Neurospora crassa OR74A: one gene and its partner. Each later gene encodes a partner of the first gene's protein in a complex. Links are inferred from orthologs where the notes say so. Each region holds a gene or a part of one and is shown on either strand. Other genes may lie near its edges.

Region 1 (4,533 bases):
GAGCGTCTGCATGGTAGAGAGAATTAAATAGATGTTGAGCACGGTTCCAAGATCAAAGCCACTGATCTGTGATTTTTCCGTGTTGCTCACGGCAACAGACGTTTCGACGCATTGGCCATGAGTGTGCGCTTTGGTGCTCGTAGTCATTAATCATTTTGGTGGTAATGACTGATCGACTGTTGAGGTTGTGATCGGTGGGTCGAGGGTGTTCGAGGCTGGCCTTGCGCCGTCATACCGAGCCGAGGGCGAGTGCGGAGGCTTGAGTCACTGGACACATACTTTGCGATCCATGAACTCACTATTGGATGAAGTATTCTAGCTCATGTTGATGGACTGCATGTTGGGATGATGCTCCAGCCTTACGGTTGTTCAAACCATTCGAGGAGGCTGATATGCCAGAAAAATAAAGACAGACGGAAAAGGGGGGGGGGGGGGGGGGGGGGGGGGGGGGTTGAGGGGGTTCACCAGTTCATAACGGGCCAGAAGTGAAGCCAATAAAGAAGGCAAGGAGCTTCAGTGGTAAAAGTTCCATCAAACGAACATCAGGGATGGAAGCTATGCGAATTCCACAAGATAAAACAACAGATCGACCGCAACATCGGGTTACTTGACCATGAGCGACTCAACAGCCGGCTTGGGTCTTCTGGAATTGTGAAGGTGAGGATGAGTGTATACGGGGACTTAAGTTACGGATCAGTTCACTCTTTGAGGGACTCGCACGCGGAAACAAAACGTGACAAACACAAAGAAGCCGAATGCAGCATAAATAGACGTGAAATTTTGTTGCAGACGAGAGGCGCTGCAAGATACCCACCCCTACCTCCAATAACATTACGTGGAATATAAATCGTTTAACTGCTCATCTCCTCTTTGTGTAACTGCACACCCTTGATCTACTCCAAGGATCCCGCTTCCGTAAGTAGACGACAGCGGTTCTAAATACTCCTTGGAAAACTCCTCACACCCAGTCAGGTAATTAACCGAGCAGATCGTCCAACCCGTGGTTGCCGCCAGTGGTGGGCCTGCTACCGCTGGTCGGAGTGGAGGGCGCAGGAGTTCCCCAAATACCAGCACTACTCTTCTCTTTGGCCAGTTGTCCGATAGCCGGACCCTTGGTGGTAGGCGTGCTCTTCTTGATTCCAGCACTAGCCTGCGACCACAGCGCACCGAAGGCGTCACCGCCAGCGGCTGGCTTGGAGGCAGCTGAACCGGTTGCCTTGGTTCCTGAAAGCGAGGACCCGGTGGACTGGGTCTGCAGCTGTACCGGGGAAAAGTAGTTTGGCTGACCGGCTTGGAAGCCAGTTGGCTTGGGAGCCTGGGAGACGGGCGAAAGGGGCGTGGAGAAAGCCGAGAAGTTGGCAGCAGGAGTCGCCGTGGAGCTGGGAGGAGGAGAGATGGAGGAGAGGGCAACCATGCCGCTAAGGTTGGCCTGCTGAGGCGCCGAAACTGGTTGCGGGGCAACAAACTGTGTGCCAGTAGAGAGGGGGGCGATTGGGGGAGAAATTGCAGAAGCAGGCTGCGTGGCGGGGGCTGCAGACTGGAAATCATCGAACTCGTCGTCGTCGTCTTTGGCGCCGCCGGCTAGAGCCGCAAGCCCAGAGCCGTTGGAAGGTGCGGCAGCGAGGGGCGCGGTCGGGATGGATGGCGCTGCGGGCTCGTCGAAGGAAAACAAGTCGATCTCGGGCTCCTTTTTCTTGGGCGGCTCGGCGGGTGCTGTTGTTTTCTTGACCCCGGCTCTTTCTGTCGTGGATCGTGGTGTCCTTGGCGCGGTACGAGACGACGCCTCAGCGTCCAAATCACCTGCATCGTATTCCTCAAACTGCTCTGCCCGTGCCTGGGTCCCGCGGTAGTCGTTGTTGGAAGGCTGGCCACCAAAAACACCTCCGTCGCCATAAACTCCTCCAGAATAGCCACCGTAGGTAGAGCTGCTACCACCGCCACCACTGCTGCTACCGCCATACGAAGTGTTGCCGAAACCGCCATAACGTCCGCTGCTCCCGCTGGAGAAGCTCATTCCACCCGAAATGCCCGTGAACTTGCCCTTGTTTGCGCGGGCCTTCTTGCGCTCTGCTCGGATACGCTCGACATCGCTGAGGAGCTCGGCGAGTTCCTTGGCGCGGTTGCGGACGTTGATACCCTGGTCTTTGCCGTTCTGGTCGATAAAATGGAACTGGCGCAGCATCTTGAGGAGGGTAAGATGCGACCGAGCATCGTCCACCACTCGTTCGGAACCGTGCTTAATCAGGTACTCTAGTAGTTGAAGGGCCTTGTAGATCTGGCGCCATTCTTCGGCGGACTTTTCTGTGAAACGGCGGTAAATCATGGGCATGATTTCGTTGAGTGTTTGGCTAAGAACAAGGAGGGAAACGCAAGTTAGCCGCGTTCGTATACAAGCGAGCAGTTCTCGAGAACGTACTAGTTGAAGGTGCCATCGGCGATCTCTTGCATCAAAGTCGACGATGCACCCCAAGGTTCATTGTTGGTGGCCTCGCGCACCTGGGTTCGCTGTCAGCTCCCGTTCCATGGTCTCTTGTCTGGGATCAAGTATATGGCGAAGGGCGCAAGAGAATGGTGCCAGTGTGGCGCGTGGATACGGGCATACCTTGGACTCCATCTCGGTATAGTTCATGACAGCTGGTTGGAGCCATTGTCAGCACCCTGAACACGAAATCATGAGGGAGTCTTGGTTCTGGACTAGGTGGTCACCTACCATTTTGAACCTTTCGTACGCCAGCCTTGATGTCGTAGAGTGTCAGGTTGGACACGGTATCCTTGAGGCTATTGAAATCCATTGCGTAAACGTGTCTATCGCCGGAGTTGCTGGGAATTGTTCTGATGGGCTAAGGTAATTCTTCTCTAGATCCAATCTGAGCCTCGCGGTGATGATTGCCAGACGGGCGGGATGCTGTGGCGACTTGGTGGTTTTTGTTCGGGCTGATCGCTTTCAGGGCGACGTTTCACGGTCTTGTCGGGATCAGATGGACATTGAGGTGGCCTAGCGTCAGGGTGCCGCTGAGCGCTGACCTCAACTGACGCCGTCCAAGGCCGACCCCTGCGCTTGACCCAACACCCTGACACCAAGAAGCCAGTGGAACCCAGGAGGTCTGCCAAGACTTTGAAAGCTTGGCACGAGCGTCTCAGCTCTTTGAAGCCTGAGTTTTCAGGCAAGAATTCTGCTTGTAATTGCCGGGCCGGCCGACAACGCGGGGCGGCGGGAGGGGACGCTCGGCCGCCGGAGCTCGCTTCCATGCATTTTGGATGGAGTAAAAATTGTTAAACACCCGACCCGACTCCGTTCTCCCTCTCGTCTCAGGTCTTTGTTGTGCATCCATCGCCGTGTAGCAGATTTCCATCGTTCGTTTGTTCGGACTTTACCTTGTACTTTTAGCTTCATTATCATCCTACAATCATCCAGGATTTCATCTTCCACAACCGGTACGTTATCATTTTTACTTTTGTTGCCATGTTCTTCTTGAGCCTTTTCTGTCTAGAGGAGCTCTCCCTGCCGGCTGGGAGCTTGCCCAAAGCTCCAAGCTCTATCTGTGGCAGAGCTCTGAGAGCTTCCATTCCCGGGATTTCTTGGCATCAGATTCAATTCGAATGTCCTTTTTTCCATCCACGCTCGAGATGAGGGGTGAGGTTTGTTAGTTTGACAATACCACCACCGCCTTTTGGTCCCTACCCCAGACATGGCCATCAAGGTCGTTAATGCCGTCCATCCCTCTTGTTCGGCTTGGGGTATCGTCCATGGCTCCGCAATGTCGTCAATGGCTGCATTGACAGAGGGGGACTCCAAATGAAAGAGGCAATCGCAACGCTATGAAGACCCAACAAGCCATATGATGGAGCCATGGGTCTACGGTCCTTTGGCCCGGATGTCTTTGGATAGCTCTTGCCAGCGCTTTAGCTGCCAACTATACACACACGGGTGGTGGCAGTTTTGATTGTCATTGCCGTCAGCGTCAGGGCCGACGGGACCTTGGAGACTCGGGGGGGAAGCGCCAACACCAGATGGCAGCTGTTTACTTGTTCGTACTGGTGTTCCTGAGCCAACGAACCAATCCGAAGCCCACATGCGCCAAAGATGACACTTGCAGAGGCTCATACCACTCCACGTTGTCAAGCTGACCTGCTGTTTCGTCGTCTCCCGCCGCACTGGCAAACGAGACCGAAACAGGCGGCGTGGCGACAGGCCGACAGCTCGAGTCGCAACAATCAATCACGTGGCGAGCAGCTACGTACCTTCTCCGCCCCCCACTTCTCGGATTGGCTGACCCCTCCTTTCCATTTTAGTGAAAATGTTTGGACCCCGCCATTTCTCTGTCCTTAAGACAACAGGTTCTCTCGTCTCCTCGACTTTCTCGTCATCTCTCAAGCCCACTGCAACTTTCTCCTGCGCCAGAGCTTTTTCGCAAACATCCAGCATCATGTCCAAGGTGTAAGTCCAGCCGCTTCTCCAGGTCCGCGCAAACATGGGAGCTGCGCCTACCTACCCGTAGCTTCAGGGACACCGACTGACCTGCATGCTTTAGT
Region 2 (3,844 bases), on another chromosome or scaffold:
CTGGCTTCCATGGGACCCGACGACGACGACTCCATACCTACATACCTAAGGAACTCCCCTCGCCAAAAGTCAAGTCCGCTCCGTAAGCGGTTTTGGTGTTTCTGTCTTGTGACTCCATCTTGAAGTGAAGAATTGCAGGTGAAAATGGAGACGAGTGGAAGGCTGCCGGGGAGAGACCGGCGATCTCCATCCAGCTGCAGCTTGAGCTGCGGAACATCAGTCCGGTGGACTTCTTTTTTTTCACCGCCTAAAGTTCAACTGGAGCTGTGGAAGGTCTGAGGGTCCGTTATGTACTGCGTATCTGTGAAAGTGGGGTTATATGCAAATGTTAACAACAACGAAAGTATCTCGAAGAAGATGACTTGACGTGATTTGCAGTGATGCGTGTTTCCATCACATGGAAAATTTCTTAGTCTACTCATTTGTAATAGGCCTGTAGTGTACATGAGTTACCAAGACACAGTTCTTGCTGGGATATACACAGTACACCACGGTTCTTCAGGGTGGCAAAGAAGCTTAATTTGGGCACAAGAAATAGCGACTTTGTCGAAGGCTCGCTCTCTGTTTCTTGTAGAACTACCAAGCTACCAAGTCACATCCCAGCAGAGGTGTGGTGAACGCAAATCATTCAAACAACAGTGGCCAACAGAAAATTTGTTTTAACCAAGGCCCCGGTCAACACCGACCAAAGTCAGGGATACTATGTCTCAGAGGAGAATCATTTGAAATCATAGAGAACGATCCGCTACCCATGTGGCGGCGAGTTGTGGTGGACATGGCGAGCCGTTTTCCCCTGTCGGATGTCGGAACGTCCATGGAAGCAAGGCCGCCGTATGGTCATGAGAAAGAAATACGTCTAAATTTCGAAACCACCTCCCTTTGTGACGCCGTCTGTGTAAAAATACAACCCCCCGTACGATACCATCCCTACGATACGAAAAACATGGAACTGGAACATGTCTCTGTTATAACAAACGCTCCATCGGTACAGTCCAAACCATCCACCACCTGTTCGTATATATCGTGATGTCACTGAACACCCCTGCCTGTTCTACCTGATGTTGTATTGCTTCTTTATGGATTCGCTCAGCTCTCTCGACACAATCACCTGAACTTGCTAACGATAACCGCAATGATAAGGAGGACCAGCACGGTGATGATCGCAATGGTGATTATCCGATTCGTAGCCATCCTAATGGTAAAGGCGCAAGTGGTCAGTATTACCTAATCATCATGATTCGCATTGGGACAAAAGGGGAGGGTGGTACCTGCGTGCCATGCCCTTTAGTGTCTTGACACTTCGGTCCACATAGCCTTCACTCTCGTATAGTATCGTGGTGGTGTGCTCAATGACTTCGCGTTGGCGGTGCAGGTCGGCCAGGGTGCTGGCGCCAATAGCCTCTGTCTCGGCGGCCAGCGCCTGACTGGCCTTGAGGCGTTGTGTGCTCCGATCGAGCCGGTCGGTGCCTTTTACGTTTCGGGGGAAATAGTCAGCATTCCGTTTCTTCTTGCCATGTATAAGGTGCTTCTGTCCACCACCCACCAGATAGCAGCTGCTGCCTCTGCTCAAAATGCCTATCGCCACTCGAAGAGCCCGGGTTATCGGTGTATCTGCCGCCGAACAGGGCGCTGCGGTCCGTCGCCAGCGTCTGCAGCTTGCGACGATACTTGTCCACGTCGCTTCGGTAGTCGCGCAGTCGCTTGTTGATGGCGGTCCGCGACGAGCTGGGCACGTTCTGCTTCTCCATGTTCATCTGGTCCAGCAGCTCGCCGGCCTCCTCCAGGGCGCGCTCGGCCGTGCTGAGGGCGGCTTTCCTGGGCTCGCCCGTCAGCTCCGAGATTTGGTCGAGCTTCTGGACCAGGTCGGCCTGGACCAGCTGGTATTCCGTCTCATAATGCTTGAAGAGCTCTGTGCCGGCTTCGCTGTCGAGAATGTTGGCCATCTTGGATTCAATGGAGTTATGTGTTGCTATCGGATGTGGAGGTTGGGGTTCGGGGCAGGTGTGGGGGTGCTGTCGTCGGGCTGGCCGTATCGGGGTGATGCTCGTTTATCGGCGGGTATCGTTATTCTCAATTATTCAGATTCGTCATTAATCATGCCAAAGAGGGGCGTCGTTGATGCGGTCGCGTTGGACGAGATGTGGTTGGGCTGGCGTGTGGTTGGTCTGATCGCAAGGAGTAGTGGTCGTCGTCGAATGTTGTCTGTCGCCAGCGACACCAGTGTGCTTCGAGCCCCGTTAGTCGTTGCGGTCGTCTCAGCAGCCTGACAAGCGAACTGAAAGGCAGGCAGGCCGCAGGCGGGAGACGACAGCAGCTGTGGGCACGGACCAGCATGGGCACATGACATTCCGCTTGTTACATACAGTTACAGTGGTTACAGTTGCAGCCTAGGCGGGTGACGTACACATGCTTGGCGTTGCCGCATGTATTGCAGTGTTGTTGCAGTACGTGTACGCAAGCGCTGTATGTATTGTTTGCAAAGTGTAACTTACACGGACCGTGTCCAGTTGAACGTATCAACCCCGCCTGGGACTGCCGGGGACTTTGGCGTCTTGAAACTCTTCAATTGGTTTCTTTGTATGACTGAGTTGACCTTTCACCAGCCAGCAACGAATTGAGACCGATGACGACCTAGGGAAGGGAACTGTTTTGGGGGACATATCGCTTAGAAGGTCCAGTCAACGGCCACGTCCCAAGACATGCTAAGATAATATAGTGTACACTGCCTAGACACTGTCACGGCTGCTTGACGCGAACCTTGGCTGGTTTCCCCAGAAAATGGACACATTGCCAGCCTTTTGTTTCTGGTTGGTGTCTTGAATTTTCCAAGTCTTTTTTGGGTTTGTAGTCTGTCGCCACCGATGCTTTGGGAAAATGTTCTCCTGGCAGTCGGGTCGGATTGGTCGGCAATGTTGTTTTGCGGCGCAAATAGTAGGTAGCTGCTCGACATTGCCACGAGATTTGCACCTTCTGTTAAATCATATATATGTCAGCTATGACATTCGGATTTCGTCGCCGACATCAAAACACCAGGACTGCTCATGGCCATCTGGTCCGGCCTCGTGGCACACACTTACTTACACACATACACGCACTCATACACTCTCTCTGTTGCTCGTCGTCCAGCAACACCAGGCTTCAGCCCAGCGATACCGACCCGTCTGACTAAACCTCCACCACAAAACATCCATCACCAACGGACAAATCAGCGACCCCGGTCACAATTCGAGAATTCGCTGCGAGGTTCTTCATTCGAAGGTTTGTCAGGCTGATCCACTCTCGGCACGCCATAGGATTCGCTGGAATACATCATCGCTTGGCTAGTGGAGAGTGTTGGCGACATTCACCAGGATCGAGTTACGTACCGCCGCCGCCGCCGCCGAAGGAAAAAGCCCACGCCAACGTCCGACGGTTTTGACACATCGGCGGCCGATTTCAGCGACTCACCGTTGCCGGCGTCCACCGTCATCCACCATCGGCACCGAATTGGCCCCATCTTTTTTAATTTGGCCAGGCTAGCTCAGGGCTTGGCCAGTCCCCTGCCCGCTTACCTTTACCAGGATCTAGCAGGATCTGCCGTGCGCTTCCGCCGTCGCTTTTTTTCTTCTTTGGGCGCCGCGGGTGTCGTGACCGGCCACTGGCACAGCAACACCACCGTTTCCAAACCTCTTGGAGCTCCTCGCAGCTCGGCCACGGCTTGGACCCCGTCAGTCAGAGGGGTGAGGCCAAGACACGGTGACAGTCGGACGCCAATTGGTCATCCACTTTGTTGGTGCTCCCTCCCCTGCCACTCCGAGTCTGCCCAGGTCCCCCTTGATTTGTTTGGTTTCTCTCTTGACATCCT

Evidence for each region.
Region 2: the proteins of NCU00725 (region 1) and NCU05959 are in contact, whole or in part, in a crystal structure (PDB 3ONL), measured with the Saccharomyces cerevisiae proteins. The link is inferred for Neurospora crassa OR74A from reciprocal best matches to the Saccharomyces cerevisiae genes ENT3 and VTI1. Residues at the interface, in NP_012659.1 of Saccharomyces cerevisiae: Asp53, Ser56, Gln57, Thr59, Tyr60, Asn61, Phe62, Glu64, Arg65, His100, Gly101, Ser102, Glu103, Arg104, Arg154, Arg157, Lys158, Arg161; in NP_013924.1 of Saccharomyces cerevisiae: Leu31, Asn35, Thr36, Leu38, Lys39, Glu42, Gln43, Gln45, Asp46, Asp50, Lys88, Gln92, Leu94, Val95, Asp96.

Annotation. Positions count from the first base shown.
Region 1 is NC_026501.1:7,405,097-7,409,629, reverse strand, and holds NCU00725 (epsin-3), read right to left. Parts: upstream 3,018-4,533; 5' UTR 2,793-3,017; coding exon 2,711-2,792; intron 2,635-2,710; coding exon 2,603-2,634; intron 2,497-2,602; coding exon 2,417-2,496; intron 2,349-2,416; coding exon 977-2,348; 3' UTR 681-976; downstream 1-680. Other genes in the region: csr-1 (peptidyl-prolyl cis-trans isomerase), read left to right, coding at 4,299-4,438, 4,533-4,533. UniProt on the Saccharomyces cerevisiae protein: Involved in the recruitment of clathrin to the Golgi network and endosomes to form clathrin coated vesicles. Plays a role in the trafficking of clathrin between the Golgi network and endosomes.
Region 2 is NC_026506.1:3,311,243-3,315,086, forward strand, and holds NCU05959 (vesicle transport V-SNARE protein VTI1), read right to left. Parts: upstream 2,261-3,844; 5' UTR 1,944-2,260; coding exon 1,544-1,943; intron 1,468-1,543; coding exon 1,269-1,467; intron 1,193-1,268; coding exon 1,105-1,192; 3' UTR 695-1,104; downstream 1-694. UniProt on the Saccharomyces cerevisiae protein: t-SNARE found in various SNARE complexes involved in multiple transport pathways. The composition of the t-SNARE complexes is specific for a limited number of v-SNAREs and therefore allows only the vesicles carrying the matching v-SNARE to fuse.